Mus musculus: one gene and its partners. The protein of the gene in region 1 interacts with the protein of each later gene in a biochemical or structural test. Links are inferred from orthologs where the notes say so. Each region holds a gene or a part of one and is shown in the gene's direction. Other genes may lie near its edges. The genes, in order: Kpnb1, Nup153, Kpna2, Nup98, Kpna4, Kpna1 and Kpna3.

Region 1 (4,108 bases):
GCTATGACTTTAAGTGTTTCAGAGAACACTAAATCCCAAGTTTCCAAAGTGTGGCTAGTGTAGGGCAATTTCTTTACACCTTAAAAACAATACAATTTACATGCTATTTTGACCCATATGCTCCTAATCCCCCCATGACTTGCAGCTGGGTATCCAAATGAGGGGAGGGGAATGTTAAGCAACTATATGCAACGTATTTTTATCTTGTTTGTTGTATTTGTTTTTTGTTTTTGAAACAAGATCTCAGACTGTAGTTCAGGCTTCGGGATACTGAGATGGCAGGTGTGTCGCTACAGCTCGTCAATGCACACGTTCTTTATATAATACTACACAGATCTTGTAAACGAAGTCTGGACATCAAAGCTTTATGGGAACTGCTAAGTGGTCTAAGGACGCGCCTCCGCGAAACTTTGTTAACAGTCCAGGGCCCCGACGGGGTCTCCAAGGGCAATTAGGGGCGCCTGAAGCCAGCTCTGCTCGAGTCTGGAATGGGCTGTGTGACCTTGGACAGGCTCCACTCTCTCTCTGGGCTTCAGTTTGCAAATCCGCACGTTGGAAGGTGAACCACGTGGTTCTCATGGTCCGGTTCCGCACAGAGCGCGGCAGCAAGCCGACCTCACCATGAAGGCAGCTTCCTGTGGGCGCGGCGCAGGACTTTAACGGTTCCCGTCCCCGCCCCCTCCGAGGCCCGCGAAAGGCTCGCTTTCCGTACACCGCGGCGAGTGACGGCTCTCCGTAGCGCGCAGTCCGAGCCACTCGCGCGCAGCTCCGCCCCACCCCGGAGGCGTCCCGTCGTGCTCCGCGCCAGACTCCTAAGAGCCTGGGCGCCTCCCGCCTTTCCGCGCGGCGGCGACCCCGAACTCCTCGCTTCAGTTCTCCCGGCGCCCCGTCCTATCAACGTCCAGGATCCCAGCCAATCCGACGCGCCTGGAGCCTTTACCTTCCGCCCACCCTTCTCCCCGCGCACAGCCGGGCTGAGCCCGAAGGCCTTTACCGGGCCAGCCCAATCAGCGGCGCGCTCTTACCTGCCCCACCCCAGAGCCCCTCCCCTCGACCAATAAGCACGCCCCATCCCGCTGCCCGCCCAGCCAACCGGACCTTGAAGCCCGCAGGCCAATGGGCGCGTGGCGGCCCTTCAACGCTAGCCGTCCGGCCAATCGGGGGTTCCGCGTGGCCCCGGCCGTAGCCAATCGCTGGGCAGCGCGGTGCCGCCGCGGAGAGGTCCGGCAAGGATATCCCTCCGCCTCCCTCCCTCGATCTCTCTCCCTCCCTGCGATCCGCCTCTCACTCACTCACTGCCGCCCTTCCTTTCTCCCTCCGCCGCCCGAGCAGCAGCCGCGCTCCGAGCTGCCCCCGGGGTCCCTCCCCCGCCGCCAGAGGAGCAGCTGCTGCCGCCTAGCACATTAGGAGGGCGGAAGGAAGGAAGGAGAGCGGGGAGGAAGGGGAGCCGGAGCGCCTGGCCAGAGGCAGCCGGTGAATGGGCTTGTGGTGACCCCCACCCCCCACCCCACCCTCCCTTCCCACCCGACCCCCAACCCCCATCCCCAGTCGGAGCCGCCGCCCGACAGGCCGGGCCGCCGTCTTGCGAGGAGTCCCCGCCGCCGTCACCTCCGCCATGGAGCTCATAACCATCCTCGAGAAGACCGTGTCTCCGGGTAGGACTCGGGGCCGGGGGGTCGGGCCGAGGTGACCGGGGTGGGGGAGGGGGTGGCCCCTCTGACCCCGCTGCCTCTCCCCCCATCTCTCCCGGCAGATCGGCTGGAGCTGGAAGCGGCGCAGAAGTTCCTCGAGCGTGCGGCCGTGGAGAATCTGGTGCGTGCCGCCCCGCCGCGCCCCATCCCGCCGCGTCCCCATCCCTGCGTGCGGCCCTTCCCGCCCTCCTGGAGGCCCAGGCCTCAGGAACCCACCCCGCCCCAGCTCGTCCCCCTACCCCCCCGCCCGGCCCAACCTAACCCCGCCATCGGGAAGCCGGTGGGTGTGTCCCGCCCCGAGCCCCGCGTCTGGCCAATAGCGAGGCGCGCCGGGGTGATCGCCGTCCAATCGCCACGCGGCCTGAGGGCGGCGGTGCTGCGGGAGGGAGAAAGAGGGAGGGAAGGGAAGTTAGGTTGCATGGCGCTGCGTGTTCAGCAAGGGTGGGGGTTGGGGAGCCGGGCCTAGGGGCCATGTGGAAGCTCTGCGCCCTGCCGCCTGCCTTGTACTGGCTGCGGCCGGCCTCTCCTTCCTGTCCCCTGGTTTTGAGGCAGTATGCAACTACTTCCCAGAGCCCTACCCTTCCCCAGCTCCCTTGGTCTGTGCTCATGGCCACGCCTGGCACCCGACCACCTCTGGACCCATTGCCACAATTTTTTTCTTTTTCTTGCCCATTATTATCCCATTCCTGGTCTAAGTGCACGAATGTTCTGTTTGGACTTAGGTTTTCAGAGAACTCATCTTTAAGGATCTCAGGCTGAGGCTCATTTCTGAGATTGAGCCTATTCTCTGATAAATCACAAATGTAACCCCGTTTTTCATACTTTCGGATTTAAGAAGTACATTTGAGAAAAGAAAAAGTGACTGACTTTTGTATAGGAAAATGTGGGATTATTGAAGCAGCCTATTGCCAGAATGTTTCTCCTCTCCTTTTTGGGGGAAGGGGAGGGAAGCGTGGATGATATGGAAAGTCTCTTTAAAGGTAGGAAGTTTTAAAAAGTGAAAAAAAACATTGTAACCCAATGTCCTTTGTGAGAGCTTTGCAAAATAGTAACATCCATACAGCGACATATCTGATTTGTACTGACCACTTTTGGTGGAGAGGTAAGCGACTTGTGTTAAGGTTTTTTTATCTCACACCTTTCCAAGCATTTCCTTTTTAGTGTAGACTGAGAATTCTGCTCATAGTATATTCTTGGTTTTGCTTTTGCTACTTTGCAAGAAGCCCTTTTTCCTGCTCCTAACTCTTCAGTGGCACAGAATAGAAATTGGAGAATTGTGTTCTGAGCCTACTGTAGAGTTTGCTTACATTGAGAATTATCTCCTGTGTTTGAAGAGTTTGCTAACACTAAAAAAAGTGTCTACTTTGGCCTTCTATAACATTCCTGATTGGACAGATTACGTACAGGCCCACCCCCCTGTGTGTGCCTCTGTATGCTCAGAAAGAGGAAGGGGGGTGTTATAGATGATTATCTTTTGGACCTGTATTTCAAAACATAGATTTTTGGATGATTCATTGTTAGTTCACATTAGGTCCAAAACACCATAGGCTCCCTGGTATGTTCTGCTTCTAAATGAAGCCAGTTTTTTTTTTTTTTTCCCCTCTCTCTTTTTTTTTTTTTTTTTTTTGGGCGGGGGGGAGTCAAGACAGGATTTCTCTATATAGCCCTGACTATCCTGGAACTCACTTTCTGTAGACCAGACTGGTCTCCCAACTCTGAAATCCACCTGCCTCTGCCTCCTAAGTGCTGGGATGAAACCAATTTCTCTTGACAATTCATCATTCACATTGTCATATTCTTTCAATTTCTGAAAACTAGTTAACACTTTGGCTTACAGATCCCTTTTGTTGAACATGCAGAACTAAAACACGGAGGACTCGGTCTTACATGTATGTTAGACTGGCACACATATGTTAGAAAGGATGCCTTACATGAGATCACAGGGCTGTCCTGATGTTTTTGAACAAGATTTTTTTTTTTTTAATATACTTTTCAAGAATTCTTTTCGTTGAGCTGATTTGCAGTACTGGACATTGTTGTACATGCTTGGAGAAAGTTGTCACTAGGATTGCCGTGTCACCAGGCATCGACTTGCCTTTAATTCTGGGGAGATATTTATTAGACTTGGGCTCAAAACATGTTCTTGATAGGAGGAATCTGTTTCTTCATATAGCAGGTGACTTGTCCTTGAAGTGGCTTTTGTTGCTTAGTCAGGCCTTAACTTTTTGAACCCAAGGAAACCTCTTCAATGTTGAGTCTAGGCAGGTACTATTTCAAAGAGAGATTTCCCAGTTTCCTGAGATACCTTGATTTGATCTAAATTTTGTGTGCTTCTCTAGTTTAGTACTTTATAAGCAAGGGGAAATTGCTAATATGCTTGCAAATGCACCTTCTCCACAGCCCACGTTCCTTGTGGA
Region 2 (3,500 bases), on another chromosome or scaffold:
GATGCATACTGTCAGGGAAAATAAGTTTTAGGTAAATTTTTATTTACAAATTATGGATAATGAGTCATCAAACATGTAAGGAACATTGGCAGTGAATATAATTCAATTCTAAGAAAACAGGATCATTTGAAAACTAAAATAGAGGTGGGGAACAACCTCATTAAAAAGAAGTTGGTTGACATAAAGCTGTTTGGTTGATGGAGTGGTGGGATGAGCATTGTCTGGTCTGATTATTGTAATGAGGTTTCCCAGAGCAGTGTCACCTGAAAAGTGCTTTTGAAATTGAATTCACTTAGATAATGAGAGTGGTATAGGGAAACATTAGAAAATTTAGAGGAAGATTTTCTGCATATAAAATAAGACACTGAGGCTGGAGAGATGGGCCCAGCAGTTATGCATACTGCTCTTTGAAGAGGACACAGGTTTTGAGTCCCAACACCTATTTTAGGTGGTTCACAACTGCCTATAATTCCAGCTCCAGGGGTATTTGATTCCTACACACATTCAGGTAAAAATTAAATTTAAAAAGACACTGGTTTCAAAATAAAAACGACTGAGCTGGGCATTAGTCCAGTGATAGAGAAAACATTCTGCAAGGCTTGTGCAAAGCCCTGGATTTGATCCTCAGTACCAAACAGTGCCCCATAAAATGAAATCATCTTGAACCATTTTGTAGCTAGAAAATTTTGATCAGACATAAAAGCAAATGTAGCTATTTTCAGACATGCAAAGTTTGTAACTTTGACACTTTTTTATTAAACACCTTTGAAGCACTCAGGGAACCCCCACATGGGAAATTCACATAACCATGAGTAGTTTTTTCATATTCGATGTTTACGTGTAAATTTGAAAACAACCTACAAAAAAAAAAAGAATTAAAACTGCCTATTATTTGAAATGGGGAGAAATGAAATATTGTAACCAGCTTTGATCATGAAATCTTATCACCTGTAGAAAGCAGTCGCCCATCCTGTCTAGTGTGTAGCTTCAGAGCTGAAATACTGAGAAAGTAGAAGTTTGATTCAGGTGGTATAAGAAATCAGAAGCTTTTCTTCAAGTCACCAATCAGTAGTTATACAGCATAAACAAGTCCTGTGTTTTCTAAGCTTTCTAATTATTTATCTAATTTTAAGACTTATTTATTTTATGTATGAGTACACTGAAGCTGTACAGATGGTTGTGGTTGCTGGGAATTGAATTCAGGACCTCTGCTTGCACTGGTCAGCTCCGCTTGCTCTGGCCCAAAGATTCATTCTATCTAAATACACTGTAGCTGTCTTTAGACATATCAGAATAGGGTGCCAGATCTCATTACTAATGGTTGTGAACCACCATGTGGTTGCTGGGATTTGAACTCAGGACCATTGGAAGAGCATTCATTGTGCTTAACCGCTGAGCCATCTCACTAGCCCAGCTTTCTAATTTATAATGGCTGCAGTGATAAGTGTAAGAGCATAGAAAAACCTCATTCCTGGGGGAAAACATTTCTTTTGTTCCTTTCATTTCAGTTATTAGTTTTTGTGGAGTTTGTCAAGCTCTAAGCTGCCTATGAAATTTGTAGGGGAAAGTAAACGCACAAGGAATGTGAGAAGAAAGGCAGGCACTAATCAATAACAGTCTAATAATAATGACAGTGACCACGAAGGGAAATACGTATAGATTAGGAGATTTAGGGTGCCACCAAGGTGACATTGTGTATTAATTATTAGCAGGAGTTAGCAAATACTCAAGTGCAGTCAGTATGATGAGATTTTGTTGATTTGTTCATGTGGATAAATGGAAGTCAGGGTGCTGCTATTGTAATATGACATAAACCACAGCACAGACAGACACGTACAAATGTACCCAGCTTCTACTATCTGATTTGGTTTCTGAATATAATACCAAGTTAGATTTGGATGTGAGACAGTGTATTTTACATTAAATTTATGCACATAGTAGCAGGACTTTTTATTTGAATGCTAAGGGTCTTTGAGTAAAGAGAAAATCTGTAGACCATAAAAGATAAGTACTTTTGACATTTCAAAGAATTGATGTTTACTTGATGAGACTATATTAGGTGATTTGTTCCTCCTTAAGGATTTATGTTTGTTTCTCAATCATTGTTTTGCAGATCAAGGTGCAGCAAAGCCAGTTTTTAGCTTCTTGAACAGCAGTTCCTCTAGTTCAAGTGCACCAGCCACTTCATCTAGTGGTGGCATATTTGGTAGTTCCACCTCTTCCTCCAACCCACCTGTGGCAGCCTTTGTGTTTGGACAGGCCAGCAATCCTGTCAGCAGCTCTGCCTTCGGTAACGCTGCTGAATCCAGTACATCTCAGTCTTTGCTATTTCCTCAAGAGAGCGAGCCAGCCACCACGTCCAGCACTGCCCCAGCTGCCTCTCCCTTTGTATTTGGGACAGGAGCCAGCAGTAATAGTGTGTCTTCTGGGTTCACTTTTGGGGCTACAACCACGTCAAGCTCTTCAGGTACTTCTGTGCTAGGAGAGAAAAATGGGGTTTGTAGTTGGATTGGTTCTGCTGAATTGCCAGCTGCAGTGTGCCTCCAATTCATGTAAGGTCTAAGGTCTCACCTGTGGAAAAATGGGCACTTCAGGTGGAATAGATCTAATTCTTAAGAACAGTATTTTCTAATTTTAGGAAGAATATATAACATTTCCAAGTTGCCTTTTTGAAATGTCAGATTTATAAGCGACCAGATAGTAATAGTGGTTGTATGGGATGTGTGTTTATACAGTGACTCAGAGCAAGTCTTTGAGATAAACCATTATAGAAAAAATTGTTGAGCCTAAGCTACTCAGTTCCAGGCCAGCCCCAGGAATACTATAAGACCTTGTCTGACAGGCACACCCCTCTTACTAGTAAATGATTGTTGGTTGCAAAGGGGGAAGGTTGTGTTAATTGAAGCTTTTGTTAAACCAGTGTATGTTTAGTAAACAGTGTCATTCATTGTTCTAATCTAATTGTAATCAAGGTAAGAGTGTGAAAGTAGCTTGAAATTTGTGGATTTACAAATGTTTCTCAAGGGTTATCTTATTATATATAAACCTTGATGTTGATTTAACTATTTCTTGGCCTCCAGGATCCTCCTTTGTATTTGGCACTGGACATTCAGCACCATCTGCCAGTCCAGCATTTGGTGCTAACCAGACTCCAACATTTGGACAAAGTCAAGGTGCCAGCCAGCCTAACCCGCCAAGCTTTGGCTCTATCTCGTCTTCAACAGCATTATTTTCTGCTGGTTCTCAGCCTGTACCACCACCTATATTTGGGACAGTGTCAAGCAGCAGCCAACCTCCTGTGTTTGGACAGCAGCCTAGTCAGTCTGCATTTGGCTCTGGGACAGCTAATGCCAGTAAGTTTGTATGATAGTTGACATCTATACTTACAGTCTGGTGTTTTAAAATAGTGTTTTTTCTTTGTACTTTGAAACTATGTGTGTGTTTTAATTTTTAATGTTTTATACTTAACAATGAATTGTGTTTCACATTTACGTATAAAC
Region 3 (4,215 bases), about 9.8 Mb from region 1:
TTGTGATTCTGTGTTCAGAATTACTCAAGTTTTAAAGTATTTGAAGGCAGGCAGTGGTGGCACACTGCCTTTAGTCCCAGCACTCTGAGGTCTGTGGAGTTCAGTCAGGTCTACAGAGACACAGAGAAACCCATTAAGTGTGTGTGTGTGTGTGTGTGTGTGTGTGTTTGGGGGAAGGGAGCAAAATAAAGAAATAAATAAAAAATTTTAAAGGTTTGGAGAAAATAGGTATTAATAAGTTATTGGTTTTTTGTTTTTGTTTTTCGAGACAGGGTTTCTCTGTGTAGCCCTGGCTGTCCAGGAACTTACTCTGTAGACCAGGCTGGCTTCGAACTCAGAGAACTCAGAAATCCGCCTGCCTCTGCCTCCCAAGTGCTGGGATTAAAGGTGTGCGCCACCACCACCGGGCTAATAAATTATTGTTACCATATTTGCTGCTTCCATTGTCCTTTTTCTTTTTCTTTTTTTTTTTTTTTTTTTGCTTCTGTCCTGGAACTCACTCTGTAGACCATGCTGGCCTCGAACTCAGAAATCCGCCTGCCTCTGCTTCCTGAATGCTGGGATTAAAGGTGTGCGCCACCACTGCCCGGCTTCCATTGTCTTTATTTTCCAAGTAATCTAAAAGTTTACCACACGGGACAAAGTGGGGCATGTCTGTAATCCCAGAACTGACGTTGAGGAAGGATTGCATTAGGTTCAAGGCTAGCCTGGGCTCTATTGTTAATGTGAGACCCTGCCTCAATCCCACTCCCCATGATAAAAATTAAATAACCAGTAAATAGCACAAACAATAATATAGCGATACAACTAATGATTGCCTAAAGATAAAATAATCAACAAATACTATAAACAATATAGTGATACAACTAATGGTTAAGAGGCACACAGATCCACGTTCTCCCGGTGACCAGCTCCTGATGTAAAATTTTTTTAAAGTAAATATATTTCTCTTTTCTTTTATTGATTGATTGACTGATTGGTTGATTGAGACAGGGTCTCACTATTTAGCCCTGGTTGGCCTGGCTGTATAAACCAGGTTTGCCTTGAACTCCTAGTGCTGGGATTAAAAGCCTGCGCCAATCACCGCAAGCTAAGCCTTTTTTTACAAGTGTAATAATAATTTCGTGTGTTTGTTTAAGGACAAGCCCAGGGAAAGCAAACAGGGTACGGCCCAGTGTCCATCTAAGCATAGACGAAACGCAGGTCTCCATGCTGTGTGCTGAGATCTGGAGTCACCCTTCTGCAAGGCACCCTGGGATTGCCCGGCCGCTCCCTCATCTCGCGACGCTTCCCTGCTTACCGCCCCACCCCCACCTTTTTTTTTTTTTTTCCCCTACGACCTGCGTCTGCGTCCCACCCCCACCCCCGCCTAACGTGTTTTTCAAACCTACCAATGAACGCGCAGCTTAGGCTCAAATCAGCCAATCGGAACGCGGCGTCACCGGGAAATTTAAATCGCGCCGGCCGGCAGCACGAGGCACAAAATCTGAGGGCTGAAGGGTAGCAGACGTTTCCACAGCCGCCGACCCGCAGCTTGAGTGTCCTGCACCACCTTTCGTGGAAATCTGAGCCGGCTGTACAGGTAGGAACGGAAGCCGGTCCTGAGCAGTAACGGCCGGACGGAAGGCTGCGGGGCGGAGGGCGGGAGCAGGCCGCGCCCGGGCCGGAGCTGAGCCTCCCTGCTCCGACCAGGCCTCGGGGCGGGTTGGTTTCGCCACGCCGGGGTCAGGGTTGGCAACGCCGGGCGCTGCGGAGGGCAGCGAAGGCCTGGGAGCGGCTCGGGTCGGCGTGGAGGGACCGGAGGGCAGCCGCAGTCGAGCGGACCTACCTGGCTGTGCCGCCGCTTTCCTGATGCTTCTGCCCCGGGGAGGAGACGCAGCTTTGGGCAGGGGATGAAGGTGGCAGTTAAGACACCCCAGTTAAGCCCTTGACCCGGATCACCTGGGTCAGGGTCGAGGACGGACATAAAGCAGTTAAACCTACTAGCTTACCAGGGTACTTTGGGTTCCTGTCCCTTCGCGACGACCACACCTGGGTTCTATCGAGCCCCACTGATCACAGCTGATGTCATCCCGGCTGAATGCATTCTCTGGAAGTGTGTGCAAGATGCGGCGTTAATGCCATTGCTGACAGCGATGATGTGATGGAAGGCCCTATAATGGAACGAACCGATTCTTTATGTAACTTGCAAGAGGGTACTAGTATGGATCCGTTTTGGCCATCGATCAACAGAAAACGAGAGCTGCGTTTATTGCCTTAAGGACGTAGATGGTTGCCAGGCATTGTTGGCGCACGCCTTTAATCCCAGCACTTGGGAGGCAGAGGCAGGCCGATTTGAGTTCGAGGACAGCCAGGGATACACACAGAAACCCTGTCTCGAAAAATAAAACAAACAAAGGACGTAGATTGTTCTCCTACTTGGTGTTCTATTAACTAATGGAGCCTAGAATTTAGATCCTTGACTTAATACCGTGCTGGCTAGAGGCTTAAGACTATTGAGTGTTTGAAAAGCCGCTAATCTGTTGAGATGCCCCGTGTGCTTAAACTACCCATTGGATTTTGAAGGTGTATAAAAACAGTAAGACATCTCAATTTTTCTGTATTGATGACATCCTCAAATGGTAATAGTTTAGCTATATTGGGTAAAAGTCTTAAAATTAATTTCCTTCCTTCCTTCCTTTCTTTTTGTTTTTTCGAGGCAGGGTTTCTCTGTGTAGCCCTGGCTGTCCTGGAACTCTGTGGACCAGGCTGGCCTCGAACTCAGAAATCCTCCCGCCTCCCAAGTGCTGGGACTAAAGGAGTGCGCCACCACTGCGGGGCTCACTGTGGTTAGTGGAAATTTTAAATTATCTTTTTTTAAAATTTTTTTTGATTGACAGTTAAGTTGCCTTTGTAGTAAGGGGCAATTATGGCTTAGTATTATAGCCATAATGATGAAAACTTGTAGGATTTTGTTTTGTTTTTATTTTATTTATATATTTTTGAGACAGGGTTTCCTGAGTAGTCCAGGCTGTCCTGTAATTCACTCTGTATACTAGACTGGCCACAAACTCAGATCCGTTTTACCTCTGCCTCCTGAGTGCTTGGAGTGCTTTGCCATCACTGCCAGGCTGTGTTGTGTCGTCATCTTTGTTTTTGTTTTTTTTTTTTTTTTTTTTGGTTTTTGTTTTTGGTTTTTCGAGACAGGGTTTCTCTGTATAGCCCTGGCTGTCCTGTCCTGGAACTCACTTTGTAGACCAGGCTGGCCTCGAACTCAGAAATCCACCTGCCTCTGCCTCCCAAGTGCTGGGATTAAAGGCGTGTGCCACCGTTGCTGCTTTTTAAATCTAGTATAGAAATGGAGTTGAGATTTAGTTGATTATAACATGCTATTGTATATTTCTGTTTGTTTCATCTTAAGATAGGGTTTCTCTATGTAGACCTAGCTGGCCTGGAACTCTCTACAGACCAGGCTGGCTTCAAACTGATAGAGATCTGGTTGTCTCTGCCTCCCAAGTGCTAGGATTAAAGGCGTGTATTACTCTACCCAGCTTCTGTTGCATTCTTATTAAAAATACTTTTTCTTTGTTTCTTTTTTTTTCTTCTCACCCTCCCTTGGCTCCTAGCTTTCCTCCTTGTTCCTGCAGCCATGTCCACGAACGAGAATGCTAACTTACCAGCTGCCCGACTTAACAGGTTCAAGAACAAGGGGAAGGACAGCACAGTGAGTACCTTCTGTTGCTTTCCTGCGTGCTTGTAAAGGGAAGGGGGATGTTTATATAACAACAGTTCTGAGGGACTGGGGATTGAATCCTAGAGCTTCACACTCAGGCTAGGTAGGTTTTTTTCTGTGCCCAAGCTTCATCTCTAGTTTTAGGTATTTAAACTTTTAAAATTGCATTTATTTATTATTTACTTTTGTGTATGTGGGGGGAGGATTTTTATGTGCACCTGTTGTACATGTAGAGGAATTTCCTCCTCTACATGGCTCTGAAAGATTGAAGGCCTCAGACTTGGTGGCAAGTGCCTTTATTCGCTGAGCCATCTCTTGTTGGTCTTTGAAGGATTTAAAAAAAAAATCACAACTGGGTGGGGTGCTGAACACCTTTAATCTCAGCACTTAGGAGGCAGAGGCAGGTAGATCTCTGAGTTTGAGGCCAGTCTGGTCTACAAAATGAGTTACAGGACAGCCAGAGCTACACAGAAAAACATTGGCTTGAAAAACCAAAAAGGGGG
Region 4 (4,267 bases), on another chromosome or scaffold:
GGTTATACATACACAACACAGATGTGCAGGTTCCTAGACAAGTTGTGGAAGTGGGTTTTCTTCTGGAGTCAGACTGGAGTCATCAGGCAGCAAGCACCATTACCTGCTGCTGAACCATCTCAATGGCTGGCTCTGCTGCTTTGTCCCCTTGAAAGTGTGAGTTACACGCTCACTCCCAAAACACAGGGTACATTTTTTGAACCTGTCAAACCAACCATGCTGTATTTTTTTTCACATTTCTATGTTCTTTAAGTTGGGGGAGACCTTTTGTGTTGAGTGTAGTAGTTCAGCGCTCAAGCTTCTCAGGCCAGACTATTAGGTTTCCCACACTGCGTAAGTCACTAAGTTAGTTAACCCTGTCCTCCTTTCCCCAGGAGGGCTGTGTGGAGTGATGGCTAGAGTAGTCAGTGCGTAGCCAGTATGTATCTATCCAACAGGGTTTTCATCCACTGCTGATCACTAGCCCCAGGCCAGGCATATAGTGGCATACTTCAGTAGTCATTGAAGAAACATTTCTAGTTGATTCAGTTCATTTATTCAACATAGTCATTAAGAAGCCAAAAAATGCTAAATACTATGGATTTGGGAGCTTTAGGGGTAAACAGCATGTTGTTTCCTTGCTAAAGTACTGATTTAGTGGGGAAAACGTGTGAGCAAGCCAGCAATACTACAGAGTAAAGGAAAAGATCTACCTTAGATTGTTGATTCTGTGCCAGTCACAGTGTAGCTCAATAGCCATATTGATAACCTAATGAAACGCAATCAGTCCTCACTTACAATCCAGTCTGGGGCTGGAGAGGCTCAGTAATTAAAATCACTTGCTACACTTGCAGAGGTTCGATGTCTTAGCCACATGGTGGCTCACAGACATTATCTAATCCAGGGTTCTCTTCTACCCTCACACATGCAGACAAAACATCATGCACAAATTAATATCTTTACCTTCCCAGTTCTGTTTTGCTGTTTTCCTCTTTTACCGCATGCATTGCATATGAACACTTTACACCTCACAGGACTTGGCTGTTTCCTTTACCTGGAAAGCTCTGCCATGTTTTTAGGAAGGTCTCAGCTTCCAAATAGTCTCCCTAAAGAAGCTCTCCCTGCTCTGAAAAGACATCCAGTTTCTTTATTTCCACAGCTTACAATTCAAGGTTTTCTTGTCTGTAAGATTCATGAAAGCAAGATGGCAGAGGGTTAGAGTAGTTTGTGTTTAGGGATAAATCAGTGGATTCTGCAAGGCCTCTTCAAAGTGAGGTCTAGAGCGCTGGTAGCCAAGCTTGATGACCCGAGTTCAATCTCCAAAACTCACATGGTGAAAGGAGACCTCCTTTGATGCGTCCTTCCATGGCATGCATTCAGACACTGAGTAGCCTGTAGGAAGAGCCGGTGGAGGGAGAAAAGTAAATCAGGTTTGTCTTTAATGTCACTGAGCCTGGTGTGGTGGTACAGGGCTGTAATTTACCATGGTAAACAAGAGGGTAATGGCAACTCTGGGGTCAACCTGGGGTGCAGAGGGAGTTCTAGGCCAGCTGGGGCTACATAGCAAGACAGTATCTCAAAAAACAAATGATTATAGAGTGTGACACAGTAGTGTGGCGAAGCTCCTAAGGTGTTTGAGTGAGAAGTAATGATGGTCCAAGCTTCAGCAAGGGGTGTGGCACAGGAATGGAAGATTGTTGTATTGGGCTTGAACTAAGGACTTAGAAATCAATACAATGACTATAATTGGAACCATAGGGATGGATCAGGAGAGTGTATAAATGAGTAGATCCTGCACTGTTTTAGACCTTAGAATAAAGAGACATAAATGCTGGTTTAAATGTCACCTCTTATTACATGTGTGTCTCTGAGTGTCATAGATTTATCCTCGGTATTTTGGTGTTGTGTAAAGACTTTGTGGTTTGTGAATCATGATCTCAAGACCTGTGCAGCACAGGCTCTGTGTTCTTTCCCTTATGTTACTGTTAGTGCCCTGTCCTTAGCAACTAGATGATATGTTGGTAGCGTGGGTTTTCTCCCCTCCTATCAATGTCCTAAGATTTTGTGTCATCTATGAGTGGGATTGAAGTATACGTGGGGTTTTGTTTGTTTGTTTGTTTGTTTGTTTGTTTTGGTGGTGGTACTGTTTTGTTTTTGATTTTTGAGACAGGGTTTCTGTTTATAGCCCTGGCTATCTTGGAACTCATTTCATAGACCAGGCTGGCCTCACACTCAGAGATGCGTTGAAGTGCTGAGATTAAAGGCATGTGAGGGAGAAATTTCTTTTATCCTTACTGGTTTCTCTGTTTTCCTGTAGGTGGATTGCTCAGGTTATGAACTAGAGCACTTACATACCAAAGTGACTTCACTGTGCAATCGGATAGAACAGATTCCGTGTTACAATGCCAAGGATCGCCTGGCTCAATCAGGTTAGCATGTGGGCTTTATTCATTCATGGCTATTTCACCCCACACCAGTGCCACGTTCTCAGCACTCACTCTGTTTTTTCTGTCTAGATATGGCCAAGCGGGTAGCCAACTTACTGCGGGTAGTGCTGAGCCTTCAGCATGCTCCTGATGCCACCTCCAACTCAACGCCAGACCCTCAGCGAGTCCCTTTGCGTCTTTTGGCTCCCCACATTGGCAGGCTCCCCATGCCTGAGGACTACGCCTTGGAGGAACTGCGAGGCCTTACCCAGTCCTACCTTCGAGAACTGACTGTTGGGAGCCAGTGAGCTTGGCTCTTGCCACCACACTCATGCCCACTCACACTCGCCACACCACAGTCCCCAGCACTGTTTTAGTTGACACTTTGCCAATCTCTGGGAATCCTCCATTCCTTTCTGCTGCATCTTCTAGTTATTCAGGGGTTTTCCTAATACTGAGCATAGCCTACAATAGCTCATAAGGGCTTCTGGAACAACAACAAAGAAGACAGGTCTCCATTTATCAACCTCAAGACCTTTTTTTTTCTTTTTCTTTTTTTTTTTTTTTTTTTTCTTTTGAAAAATGGTCAATAAAACCTCTTTGGCAGAACCTCCCAAAACCTAGGGAATTCTTTTCCACACCCAGCGTTCTGGCTCTCACCCCATGCCAGCATCTAACCTCCACCACTGCGATCCTTTTGTACCGTGACTGTTTGACAGACATCTGGCATATGACTGACTGACCTTCCTTACAGATTTGTCCCTCAAGTAGATTTCTCAGTAACGGTGGATTTTGGAGTCAAAAGAGAGTTGGACCTTGTTCTTTGGTAAATTTAAGATAGAAGGGCTGTCTGCCATAGAGGTAGAGATCTTCAAGGCCTTTACTCATGCCCTGTGTATCCTTTGGACACCATACTATCATGCGCAGTGGCCCCAAGCCACCGAGAACCAGTCTGAGAAGCTCCAGATTCGCTCAGGCCCTTGATCATCAGTCGTCGTCGTCTTCGATTTGCCAGAGGAGTTTAGATGAAGAATGTCAAGGATGTTCCTCCCTGCCCTCCCATCTAGCCAAGAACATTTCCAAGAAGATAAAACTGTCACTGAGACAGGTCTGGATGCGCCCTAGGGGCAAATAGAGAAGGCCTTTACCACATTGCTGCTGGCTATAGGAAGTCCCAGGTACTAGCCTGAAACAGCTGATATTTGGGGCTGTCACAGACAATATGGCCACCCCTTGGTCTTTATGCATGAAGATTATGTAAAGGTTTTTATTAAAAAATATATATATATATATAAATGATCTAGATTATTTTCCTCTTTCTGAAGTACTTTCTTAAAAAAATAAAATTAAATGTTTATAGTATTCCTGGTGGTATTGACTTTCTCTTTGTGTTTTTGGAGACTCTGAGAAGAAACCGATCCTAAGTTAAAGAGCGAGCGAGGGGCTGAGGAGTGAGTTCAGAGGGTCAGAGCACTAACCACACAAGTCTGACAATCCAAGTTTAGTTCTCAGACTCCTGATAAAGCAAGCTGTGTTGTTAGCACACATCTGTAATCCCAGTGCGCTGTATGTGCCTGGCAGCACTCTCATGGATACATGTTTACGTGTATTTTGATCATATCCATCACTCCCACTCTGAATTTCCAGCATTCTGGTTTTGTTTTGTCTTTGTCTGAATTTATTAATATTTTATGTGTATTGTGGTTTGCCTGTATGTATTCACCACTACAAAGTGAGTTCCAGGACAGCCAGGGCTACACAGAGAAACCCTGCCTTGAAAAACAAAAAGTATATTCAGATGAACAACTTCAATTTAGAATCTACGTGCATAAATTTGTGTGTAGTATTTATCAATCAGTAAC
Region 5 (3,500 bases), on another chromosome or scaffold:
TTGGTAGTCAGCTCTTAGTTATTTAAAGGGTTATAAAATATATACATTATTACTAACTTTCCCCATCTATGAATAACAGTAGGCAAAAATTAAAATAATTTTTCTTTTTATAGCATACTTGAGCAGTCTAAAAACCTTGTATAAGAGATTAAAATTTAGTATATAATGTATATTTCTATTGTGAATTAACAGTAAGTATCTAATAGCCTAATTCATTATTGAACATTATCATGACCTTTGCCCTTATAAATAACTGTAGGAAAAATAATTGACACAATCTCAGTATTTTGAGCATTTTTTTAGACTAGAGGCATTTTTGTTTGCTTGTGGTAATCTGGCTGCCTGAAACTCATGGTCGTCTTACCTCAGCTGGAGAATCCCCACCCCAAGTGTGGGATTGCAAGACTATATACCGCCAAGTCTGTTTACTGGAGGCTGTATTAACTCAGACTTTAAAATTCAAAGAACTAATCCCAGTACCTAGGGAGGCTGAGGCAGGAGAATTGCTGTGAGTTCAAGACTAACCTGTACTACATAGCAAGATGCTGTCTGAAAACAAACAGAAAACTAGCTAGTGGTGGTTGCAGCACTCCTTCCTTTAATTCCAGCACTCAGGAGGCAGAGGCAGAGGCAGAGGCAGGTGGATCTCTGAAAGTTTTAGGTTTACAGAGCAAGTTCCAGAACAGCCAGAGCTACACAGAGAAACCCTGTCTCAAAAAAACAAAAACAACCCCCCAACCCCCAAACCAATACTGAAATCTGGCTTGGAAATCTTGGAAATCCCTTTTTTGGTGGTTTTTTTGTTTGTTTGTTTTTTGTTTTGTTTTTTGTTTGTTTGTTTGTTTGTTTTGATGAAGGAGGATTCTGGACATTCTTTAAAAATTAAGACACTTCACTTACTTTGTATATATGTATATGTGTGTGTTTACATGTATATTACAGCATATGTGTAAAGACTAGACACTTCCACGTGTGTTCTGAGTATTGAACTCAGAGTGTTAGCAAGCACCTTTACTCACCAAGCCATCTCAACAGCCCTAAACACTCATCACAGTCTTCATTGTTCTGACATGGAGGGTATTGTTTGTTTTGTCTTGCTATGTCTCCCTGACTGACTGTAGCCCATGTTTTACTGAACTCTGAGCCCTATTCCTTCCTCGGCCTTTTGAATTTAGAGGTTATAGGTATGTGTTTCCACAGTTATTTGCATGTAAGTGTTGTTAGCATTGTTATTGCCCCTATTAATTTTTGTGAGCAGCGTACTCTGTGAACTTACTAGTGTAGAGGACACTGCTTTTAGAAGTGACGTTGCATATCTGGGTGCCTCTTGTATCAAGCATCAAAGCTTTGTATAAAGCTGTTAAAAGTTCCCAACCTTCCTAATGCTCACCGTCATGTTGTGATGACCACTGTCTTAGTTAGGGGTTTTTCTGCTGTGAACAGACACCATGACCAAGACAACTCTTAGAACAACTTTTAATTGGGGTTGGCTTACAGGTTCAGAGGTTTAGTCCAATATCAAGATAGGAACATAGTAGCATCTAGGCAGGCATGGTACAGAAGAAGCTGAGAGTTCTACATCTTCATCTCAAGGCCACTAGAAGAAGACTGGCTCCCACATGGTTAGAAGGAGAGTCTCTTTGCCCACCCCACAGTGACACACTTCTTCCAGCAAGGCCACACCTCCTAATATTGCTACTCCCTGGGCCAGAGATATTCAAACCCCAATCATAAAGTTATTTTTGTTGCTACTTCATAACTGTAATATTGCTAATGTTAAGGATTGTAAATATCTGATATGCAGGATATCTGATATGTGACATCCCCCTCCTTAAAGATTTTGTGACCCCACTGTATCAAAGAGACATTATGGTAAATTATTATAATAAAGTAGAGAACCATTATGATATTTGTTTTTGTTTTTTTATTCTCTAATTACATGTTAGAATTATATACATCACCAGATATTATAGTGCAAGAAAGTTTTTTTTTTTCCCCTGTGGATTAGTTTTGCTTCTGATAATGGGTCTCATGTATCCTGGGCTAACTTTGAACTCACTGTGTAGCTAAACTTATCTCCATACTGACTCTACCTCCAAAACATTGTGATTAGACTTGTGCCAACACACTAGACCCTATTAAATCATGATGTATAAATTCTGCATTAATTTTCTCAATAGTTATTTAGACATATTGTATTAATGTAAAAGCTTGTTATACTGAACAAAGCATTGCGGTAATGATAACATGTCTGCTCAAAGTATTTGAAATAATCTTGGGCTTCTGCATCTTAGTGACACCCTGTAAGTGAGCAGCTTATAAAGACACATATTTGTTACATTGGTTCTCTTGGCTCAAAGACCTATAATGTCTACTTGTTAAATTCCTAGTATTTTTATATAAACTAAAAAAAATCTTATTAAAATGTTAGTAGCTGCATAATTGTACCCAGTGCTTTATGTTTTCTGAAAAAGCTTAGTGTTGATTTATCTTATTTAATTAATCCTTTCTACAGGTGATGGACCTCAGTGTAGAGATTATGTGATAAGTCTTGGAGTTGTAAAACCTCTGCTTTCATTCATAAGTCCATCTATTCCTATAACATTCTTAAGAAATGTTACCTGGGTTATGGTCAATTTATGTCGCCACAAAGACCCACCACCACCAATGGAGACAATTCAGGAGGTAAATAAAAGAAAAAAATAGTTAGATACCATTTTATGTTTTTTCTTTTAATCAGTATGTTTAAGTTGTACATATTTCTCTCCTCAGATTCTTCCAGCTCTTTGTGTATTAATTCATCACACAGATGTAAATGTGAGTAAATTCTTCTCGTATATTAATAAATGTATGTATGTGTGTATGTATATCTTCTGGACTCCCACTATGATATTGGACTGAAAACAGTGTGTAATTGTATTCTGTCATACTTTACCATTTCAAGAGTTAAGGTACTTATTTGTTATGTTTCCATTTCCTCTGTTTCTGTAGCTTCAGTGAGGAGTCAAACCTGTTACAAAGATGCAGTTAGTCATCTCCTCTCATCAGGATTGATTGTTCTTGACATTTATGCTTACTCCAGCTGCCATCTGGCTTTTGAGAATATATACACATGGTTGTGTTTTTGTATTTTGAAGCATAAGTGAATATTTAGCTTAAATACTAATTCGAGCGTGCATGCGTGTGTGTGTGTGTGTGTGTGTGTGTGCGTGTGCGTGTGCGTGTGCGTGCGTGTGTGTGCGCGCGCGCACATGTGTATGTCAAACTATGAAAACCTATTGTTCCTCAGTTCCATTTTTCAGTCTTATTTCTCCAGTTATAGCAAAGTTCTTTGATTAAATACAAATTTTAGTGTTTTGTTTTTTCAAAGATTTGCAAGACATTGGAAAGTATTCTAATATCCAACAACTTTGTTTTTCTTTCCACTTGTTTCCTAACTCTTGTTTATCTGCCACAAGATGAGCTTGTGCTTCAATGTTTACTTTTAATAGGTCTTGAAT
Region 6 (4,056 bases), on another chromosome or scaffold:
GAAATGAAGAGTAAAAAAATAAAATAATGACTGCCCTGAGAACATGGGCCCCCGCCCCCGGCCAGATGGCCTAATTCCCTGGAACTCTTGGGAAAAACAACCACAAAATGTTTCAATGTCCCAGGTGCCTTGAAGTAAATATCCGCCCCTAGACTTCCCCTGTTTCCTCTCCCATCCTCCCCCTAGGTTCTGGTTTTTACCTTTATAAACCTGCTGGAAAATAGGGTTGGGGTCAGACTCCTCTACCCCTGCGTGGTGTATGGGTCTCGACCTCAGCATGCTGGTTTGTGTGCCATTAAAAACCTCGTGTGTTTGCAGCAAGCGTGACTGTGGCTTTCTGGGCTCGCGATCCCTGAGACTTGAGTGAGGGTCTCCCTTCGGGGGTTCTACAGATTCATGTCCGGTGCTCCTCAGTATTCCTTTTAAACTGACTTGTTAAACCGTGTCCTGTGGTTGTGATTTTCCTGTGACCTCTACTTGCTGTCTTAAAGTGTTCCTTTGAAGCCACCGCTCTACTCCCCAGAAAGAAAAAAAAATTCTATCATGTAACGGTTAAGTCATTTCCCTAAATATTTTGTTTTAGCGTGCCTTCTCATAGCAACGCAAATATTTTCGCTGGAAATTGCCGTTTTTGAGATAGGGGTCTTTCTACGTAGTAATGCTGGTCTAGAATTCGCCATTCTCCTGCCTCAGACTTCCTAGAGCTGAAAATACAGGCGTGCGTTACCGTCATGCTAGGCTCAAAAAGCGATTTAATGTTATATGATACTAATAAATTACCGGGTAAGATGGGTGAGAACTGAAGAGAATACCCAGAAAGTTCCTGCAAACGGGTTGCATGTGAATTCTTTGAACGTGAGACACTGACGTATTTTGTAATACTCCCTCAGCCTCCAACCATGCCATCATTCATCCAATAAGCATGCTCGGCTGTGAGGTACCTACCATGTGAGAGGGAAGCTATATTGATGTGAGGGGGAATCCGTCCATTCTGGAAGAGCTTAGTAAGGACAAGTTTGTTTCCATAACTTCTATATGTCTGCGCTTTTACTGACTGCCAACCTGGTCCGCAGAGACCCACGCCCTGGCCGCCGCCTTTTCCCTGGCCGCCGCTAGCCTAGGGCGTCCACGCTCGGAGACTCCGCTTCCCGGCAGCCCCTGCGGCAGGCGGCGGAGAAGCGCACGCAGGCGCGCCGGCCGGCCCCCGCACGCAGGCGCAGTGCGCACGCCGGCTGAGCTGGGTCTCGCGGCTCTGTGAGCGGCAGCGGAGAGCGAGGCCTGGTGAGCGCCGCCGTGGTGCGCGCCGGCTGGTCAAGGTTGTGCGCAGAAGAGGCGCAGCGGGCGGGCCAAGAGCGAGCGTCTCCCTCTTCGTAGTGGCACCGGGACCGGTCGCCTGGAGCCGGTGAGTGGGGGCACCTCGCGGCCCCTCCCCCTCGGCGGGCGGCTCTGGGTCCCCCTCCGCGGACCCGAGGGAGGCCCCGGGGCGAAGGCGGACGCGGGCGGAAGCCGGAGCTGGCTCGGGCGCGCCGGGGACCGGACCCTCGCGTCGCTCCGGTGCGTCACGGGCCCGGCGGTCCTAACGGCCGCGCGGCGGCGGAGCGGGGTGGGGGTGGGGAACGCTGGTGCTCGCCGTGAGGAACGCCGGTCGGGGCGGGGCGGCGCGGCGCGGCGCGGCGGTGGAAGCGGCGTCGGGGACTGCGGGGCGCCGGGCGGCGGCGCGGAGTCTGCGCGCCGCGCTAGCTTGAGGGCGGGGGCGGGCGGCGCGGAGTGCGGTGGCTGAGGCCGAGGCGTGCGGGGCCGATCGGGGAGTTGGCAGGTTACCACCGGGGCCGGTGTTTGGAGGGAGGTGGGGGTGGAGACGGGAGGCTTGCAGTTTACAGATGTCATAACTACGCGGGCCTGGAGCTGCTGACGGGGGTGTGGTAATTATAGCAATGACAAGTTGGTCGGCTGTGTGAGCCGGCGATGCGAGGGAAACCGCCAAGCCTTAGCTGAGGCTCGCATTGGGAGCAGAAAACTGGAGGGTGACTGGGATCAGGGACATCGGCAAGAAAGAATGTGTGGGTTGAATGCAGCTGCTTCCAAACCACTTTTCAATGAAAAGTTTCACATGAATTGATTTTAAGGCTTAAACTTCGGCTTGGTAAATTACTATAGGAATCAGCCACCGAGAAATGCTTTTGAGATATTAAACACTATTGTCTGGCCTTTTCCCTCTTAAAAGAGTTCCGTCAAACACCTCCTTCCTCCTCCTCCTCCTCCTCCTCTTTTTTTTGTGTTTTTGTTTTTGTTTTTTTTCGAGACAGGGTTTCTCTGTGTAGCCCTGGCTGTCCTGGAACTCACTCTGTAGACCAGGCTGTCCTGGAACTCACTCTGTAGACCAGGCTGTCTTGGAACTCAGAAATTCACCTGCCTCTGCCTCCCAAGTGCTGGGATTAAAGGCGTGCGCCACCACTGCCCAGCCTGTTTTTTTTTGAGGTTGGGTTTTGTTTGGTAGGCTGGCTTTGAGCTTCTTATCCTGCCCTGGCCTTCGGGGTGGCAGGATTTCAGAGTCACACAGAAACTACACAGTCAGTTCAAAATTTCCATCAGTCTAGATATCAAAGTAGGTACTAACTAGTCCCAACCTTCTTGCCTGTAGGTTGCCTTTTCTTTGTTTTTGAGACAAGTCTCACTATTTAGTCATGGCTGGCCTAGCATTACATTGGTTGTCTTGAACTCAAAACACTCCTGCCTCAGCCTCTCAAGTGTTTGGGGTTACAGCATGCCTGCACGTGCGGGTGTTAGTATAAATTTGTATTCATGATGTGTACAACATTTACTTATTTATATACTTACTTTTAGATAGGGTCTCATTACATAGCTCTGGAATTCTTACATAGACCAGGCTGCCACTGAACTCAGAGATCCACCTGCCTCTGCTCTTGGAATTCTGAAATTAAAGACGTGTGTTGTCACACCTGACCTCCTTTCTCCATTTTAAAGGCTGAAAGGTCTAAATTTTGAAAGGAACTTGAGAATGGTTTAGCTTTTTAGTTTTGCTGAAATAACTTATTCTTGGCGGATTATCGTTTATGTGATATACAATTTTAAGATGGAGGCCTGAGAAGAAGTAAAGAAATAAAAGCAAATTTACAGCAACTTTGAAGCAGATATTAGCTTTTCCTAGCATAAATGAAAGCACGGAAGAACACAGTATTAGTTTTAAAAATAGCTTGTTTTGGGCTGGTGAGATGGGTCAGTGGGTAAGAGCACTGACTGCTCTTCCAAAGGCCTTGAGTTCAAATCTCAGCAACCACATGGTGGTTCACAACCACCTGTAATGAGGTCTGACACCGGTGCCTTTCTGGTGCGTCTGAAGTCAGCTACAGTGTACTTATGTATAGTAACAAATATTTTTAAAAAAAAGAATAGCTTGTTTCTTATAAATATTTTATTTCCTTTTTAAGTGTGTGAATGTTTGTAAGTGCATCATGATGGTGCCTGGTGCTTGCAGAGGCCATATGAGGGTGTTAGAGTCTCTAAAAGTGGAGTTGAAGATGGTTTGAGTTTGGGTACCAGGAACCAAACCTGTCTTCTGCAAGAACAGCAAGTGCTCTTAACAGCTGAACCATCTTTCTAGTCCAGAAACCTCTAGAAGAAGACTTTGTTCTAGGGAAAAAAATATTTGCTGATAAAAATGCATTGTAAAGCCCGGTGTGGTGGCGCACGCCTTTAGTCCCGGTACTTGGGAGGCAGAGGCAGGCGGATTTCTGAGTTCGAGGCCATCCTGGTCTGCAAAGTGAGTTCCAGGACAACCAGGGTTATACAGAGAAACCCTGTCTCAAAATGCATTGTAAGAGATAGTAGCTAGTTCCTATAATCCTAGCACAGACAGAGGCCAGAAGATCCTGAGTTTTGAAGCTAGCCTAGAACTTTACCCTGTCACAAAACAAGAAAGCAAAACCTGCAGGAGTATAGCATGCCAGAGGCCTGTAGTTAACCCTCCCAAAAGGTCTACAAAATCAGACCTAGAAAACCTATGGTCAAGTAAAGAGAATAAAGATATTACCTACA
Region 7 (3,500 bases), on another chromosome or scaffold:
CCTGTGTTCAGTATCCTGTTAGGGACAGCATGGTGCATATCTGATGCCTGCATTCTCCTTCATGTCCTGCTGGATTCCTGGGTTCCTTCTCCATCCTTGCTGCTGAATGCTTAGGCTCCTCCTTCATCCTGCTCTGTTTCAGGTCCCTTTTCTTTTCACTGAAGTCTTCAGTCTGCCTTTGGGATAGTATCCTAACTGCATACCTTTTGCTGTGCTCTGATTAGGGGTTGTTGTAAATTCTGCTCATTATACTTCTCTGCCAAATGTTTTACCAACTAAAAATAAATGCTGACCCAGAATGACATTAAATATATTAAATGCAGGACTGTATATGACGTGGTAGACACAAATGCATGCTAATTCAGAATAATATTAAAGTCTATGGGACCTGTTCAGTGATGAATAAGAACTGTTTTAAAGATGGGACTTCATAAATTTTAGTTTTCGCTATTTAAAAAACTTTCCTAGAAAGTTTTATGTGGAGTTCAATAATTTTCCACTGGGGGCTGGCAAGATGGCTCAGTGGGTAGGAGCACTGACTGCTCTTCCAAAGGACCTGAGTTCAAATCCCAGCAACCACATGGTGGCTCACAACCATCTGTAATGAGATCTGATGCCCTCTTCTGTTGTATCTGAAGTCAGCTACAGTGTACTCATGTATAATAATAAATAAATCTTAAAAAAAAAATACCACAAGAAATTACTGTTTAAAAGCCATTGCTTGGTTTGCTTATGGCTTTGTTGTAGGGATGGAATAAATGTTAATTTTTTGTTCCTCACAGTCTCTCAAGAGTTAATGAAAAAGACGGAAACAACAATTTCATTATAAACATGTTTAAAACTGTTTTCTTCCTCCTTCAGACTGCAGCACTCAGAGCGGTTGGGAACATAGTGACTGGCACTGATGAGCAGACCCAGGTGGTTCTCAACTGTGATGTCCTGTCCCACTTCCCAAACCTCTTGTCACACCCAAAAGAGAAAATAAATAAGGTAAAGGCATGCACTGTTGCTTCTCCTCTCTATGACGGTTTCCTCGTTGCTATTAGGATGTTTATTCAGTCATGACACTCCAGGGGAGAGATCTTTGTCACGGTTTTACTGTTTCATCACTGTCTGCTTCCTTTAGTCCCACTCTCAGCACAGAATAAAAATAGTGAATATTTGGACTTTTTATGTTTAAATAGGTTGAGCAAAATTGGTAATTATTAAGTTATTAACCAGTATACAAAAAATACATACAAAACCTCCCACAAAAATAACTGGTATTTTTAAAAAATAAACATGTAATTTAATCTTCTACAACATAGAAAAGACCTTAGGGTATCATGTCTTCTTTCAAAGATCATAAAATGTATTCCTTTAAAGTTTTAAATACACACACACACACACAAATGTATTTGTAATTGGACAGCAGACACTTAAGTAGTTTTATGTCTTGTTTTAAAGTTCATTTATTTAATAGAATGTTAGAGCTGTGTGTGTGTGTTTATGTGTGTGAGGGGGAAGGACCAAGGTCAGCATCAGTTATCTTCCTCAGTTACTCCCTACATTGTATTTTTAAAAATGACTTTTATTATTTTTAATTCTGTGTATGGGTGGGTGGGCATGTGCATATAAATGCAGGTGCCAGTAGAGGTCAGAAACAGCCCCTCCCTCCCTGAGCTGGTGGAGGTCCAGGAGGTGACTGAGCTGCCCAGGTGTTCCTAGGAGCTGGGCTCTGGTTTTGGAGAACAGATCATGCTCTCACCTTGTGTTTTGAAGCAATGTCTTTCACTGGACCTGAGCACTACAGATCTTTTGTGTCTGTGCCTCACCAGTGCTTGGGTTACAGATATGTGTCAGTGAGCCGAGGTTCTAGATGGGTGCTAGAGATCTCGTCGGGGCTCATGCTCGTATGGCAGGCACTTCACCACCTCAGCCTCCTCCCAAGCAAGCCTTGACCTGATTTGCTTTTATGGCCGAATAAGTCACTCTGTTGGATGTTATACCACATTTTTCTCATTTACCTGTTGAATGACACTGGGGTTGTTGCCACTGCTTGGCTATTGTGAATAAAGTTGCAGAAAACACTGACACATCAGTAACTTTCAAGTCTTTGATTTAGTTTACTCTCTGATGTTGCTAGAAGTTGCTGCAGTCATGGTAACTGTGTGGTAGTTTTTTGAGGACCCTTTAAACTATTTTCCCTTATGGCTGTACTTTACAGTGTATTAGGGTTTCGTTTTCTCTCAAGCTGTGTGGCTATAGTTGTTGGTCACCATGTGTCTCGCATAGGTGCTGAGTACCTGAACGCAGGTCCTCATGTTCTTGTAGAAGGCACCTTATCCACCGAACCTTCTCCCCTGACCTAATGCTTTAAAATAAATATCTTGTAGTGGAAGTAGTTTTGACAAGAATTTGGAAATTCCAATCTTTGGGCATGCCTTTCAAAATAAACTAATACAACTCTGTGGAGAAAGGTTTGAGGCTGCTTTATTTGCTGTTGTATCTACTTAGAATTATGCTTAGCTTAAAGTAGGCTTACAGATCATTACATAAACACTGGGTTTAGTGGACATACGAGTATCACGACTGGAAGCTTCCTTCCTCTTTACTTAAATGGGAAGTCTGAATTGGCTAAATAGCAGGTACAATGCTTGCCTTGTAAACCTGACAACCTGAGTTAGATCTCTAGAGCCACATGATGGAAGGAGAGAACCAAATCTCAAAAGTTAGAATTTGTCTGACCTGCACATATGCACTGTGGCACAGATGTGTACAACCTTTGCTTATATACCAAAACTAGAATCGCATACAGCGATAGTAAGTAAAATTAAAAGGGCAGTCTTGCACAACCGATCACTTTTTAGATTTGGTCACTTTAACACTACTCAGGAGATTTTGTTATCAAATATTTAAAATATTAAAGAGAAAAATAAAAACATTAAAAGTAGCTTTTTCAATAAAAGTGGTCCATATTTTGTTCACTACAGGAAGCAGTATGGTTCCTTTCCAATATAACAGCAGGCAATCAGCAGCAAGTTCAAGCTGTAATAGATGCTGGGTTAATCCCTATGATTATTCATCAGCTCGCTAAGGTCAGTTATATTATAAATTCATTATTTATCTTAATTTTTTACAACCCACATGTTTTTGATAAAGAGCTTACTTTGCGAAATTGTTTTTACATTTTAGGGGGACTTTGGAACACAAAAGGAAGCTGCTTGGGCAATTAGCAACTTAACGATAAGTGGCAGAAAAGATCAAGTGAGTATGAGAAAATTTAACTTGTCACTTTACTAATTTCAGCAAGGGCCCTTCTTATTTTTGTAAGTTACTAGATGTTTTCGTCTGGGTACTGCAGTTGTTAGAGGAAAAAGAATTAACAAATATTACAGATATTTCTTCTCTTGTATTGTCTAGGTTGAATACCTTGTACAGCAGAACGTAATACCACCATTCTGTAACTTACTGTCAGTAAAAGATTCTCAAGTGGTGCAGGTGGTTCTAGATGGTCTTAA

Evidence for each region.
Region 2: the proteins of Kpnb1 (region 1) and Nup153 form a complex in vitro, tested with the Homo sapiens proteins (4 studies listed by BioGRID and IntAct, with this or other methods). The link is inferred for Mus musculus from reciprocal best matches to the Homo sapiens genes KPNB1 and NUP153.
Region 3: the proteins of Kpnb1 (region 1) and Kpna2 form a complex in vitro, tested with the Homo sapiens proteins (6 studies listed by BioGRID and IntAct, with this or other methods). The link is inferred for Mus musculus from reciprocal best matches to the Homo sapiens genes KPNB1 and KPNA2.
Region 4: the proteins of Kpnb1 (region 1) and Nup98 form a complex in vitro, tested with the Homo sapiens proteins (3 studies listed by BioGRID). The link is inferred for Mus musculus from reciprocal best matches to the Homo sapiens genes KPNB1 and NUP98.
Region 5: the proteins of Kpnb1 (region 1) and Kpna4 form a complex in vitro, tested with the Homo sapiens proteins (2 studies listed by BioGRID and IntAct, with this or other methods). The link is inferred for Mus musculus from reciprocal best matches to the Homo sapiens genes KPNB1 and KPNA4.
Region 6: the proteins of Kpnb1 (region 1) and Kpna1 form a complex in vitro, tested with the Homo sapiens proteins (6 studies listed by BioGRID and IntAct, with this or other methods). The link is inferred for Mus musculus from reciprocal best matches to the Homo sapiens genes KPNB1 and KPNA1.
Region 7: the proteins of Kpnb1 (region 1) and Kpna3 form a complex in vitro, tested with the Homo sapiens proteins (2 studies listed by BioGRID and IntAct, with this or other methods). The link is inferred for Mus musculus from reciprocal best matches to the Homo sapiens genes KPNB1 and KPNA3.

What each region holds. Positions count from the first base shown.
Region 1 is NC_000077.6:97,185,093-97,189,200, reverse strand, and holds the start of Kpnb1 (importin subunit beta-1), read left to right. Parts: upstream 1-1,308; 5' UTR 1,309-1,615; coding exon 1,616-1,655; intron 1,656-1,753; coding exon 1,754-1,812; intron 1,813-4,091; coding exon 4,092-4,108.
Region 2 is NC_000079.6:46,682,850-46,686,349, reverse strand, and holds part of Nup153 (nuclear pore complex protein Nup153), read left to right. Parts: intron 1-2,113; coding exon 2,114-2,467; intron 2,468-3,080; coding exon 3,081-3,353; intron 3,354-3,500. UniProt on the Homo sapiens protein: Component of the nuclear pore complex (NPC), a complex required for the trafficking across the nuclear envelope. Functions as a scaffolding element in the nuclear phase of the NPC essential for normal nucleocytoplasmic transport of proteins and mRNAs.
Region 3 is NC_000077.6:106,996,726-107,000,940, reverse strand, and holds the start of Kpna2 (importin subunit alpha-1), read left to right. Parts: upstream 1-1,415; 5' UTR 1,416-1,582; intron 1,583-3,605; 5' UTR 3,606-3,628; coding exon 3,629-3,703; intron 3,704-4,215.
Region 4 is NC_000073.6:102,118,900-102,123,166, reverse strand, and holds the end of Nup98 (nuclear pore complex protein Nup98-Nup96 isoform 1 precursor), read left to right. Parts: intron 1-1,104; exon of another isoform or gene 1,105-1,371; intron 1,372-2,296; coding exon 2,297-2,408; intron 2,409-2,495; coding exon 2,496-2,713; 3' UTR 2,714-3,767; downstream 3,768-4,267. UniProt on the Homo sapiens protein: Plays a role in the nuclear pore complex (NPC) assembly and/or maintenance. NUP98 and NUP96 are involved in the bidirectional transport across the NPC. May anchor NUP153 and TPR to the NPC.
Region 5 is NC_000069.6:69,089,093-69,092,592, reverse strand, and holds part of Kpna4 (importin subunit alpha-3), read left to right. Parts: intron 1-2,515; coding exon 2,516-2,685; intron 2,686-2,772; coding exon 2,773-2,817; intron 2,818-3,500. UniProt on the Homo sapiens protein: Functions in nuclear protein import as an adapter protein for nuclear receptor KPNB1. Binds specifically and directly to substrates containing either a simple or bipartite NLS motif.
Region 6 is NC_000082.6:35,982,107-35,986,162, forward strand, and holds the start of Kpna1 (importin subunit alpha-5), read left to right. Parts: upstream 1-1,256; 5' UTR 1,257-1,402; exon of another isoform or gene 1,403-1,554; intron 1,555-4,056. UniProt on the Homo sapiens protein: Functions in nuclear protein import as an adapter protein for nuclear receptor KPNB1. Binds specifically and directly to substrates containing either a simple or bipartite NLS motif.
Region 7 is NC_000080.6:61,370,448-61,373,947, reverse strand, and holds part of Kpna3 (importin subunit alpha-4), read left to right. Parts: intron 1-861; coding exon 862-990; intron 991-2,972; coding exon 2,973-3,077; intron 3,078-3,174; coding exon 3,175-3,246; intron 3,247-3,402; coding exon 3,403-3,500. UniProt on the Homo sapiens protein: Functions in nuclear protein import as an adapter protein for nuclear receptor KPNB1. Binds specifically and directly to substrates containing either a simple or bipartite NLS motif.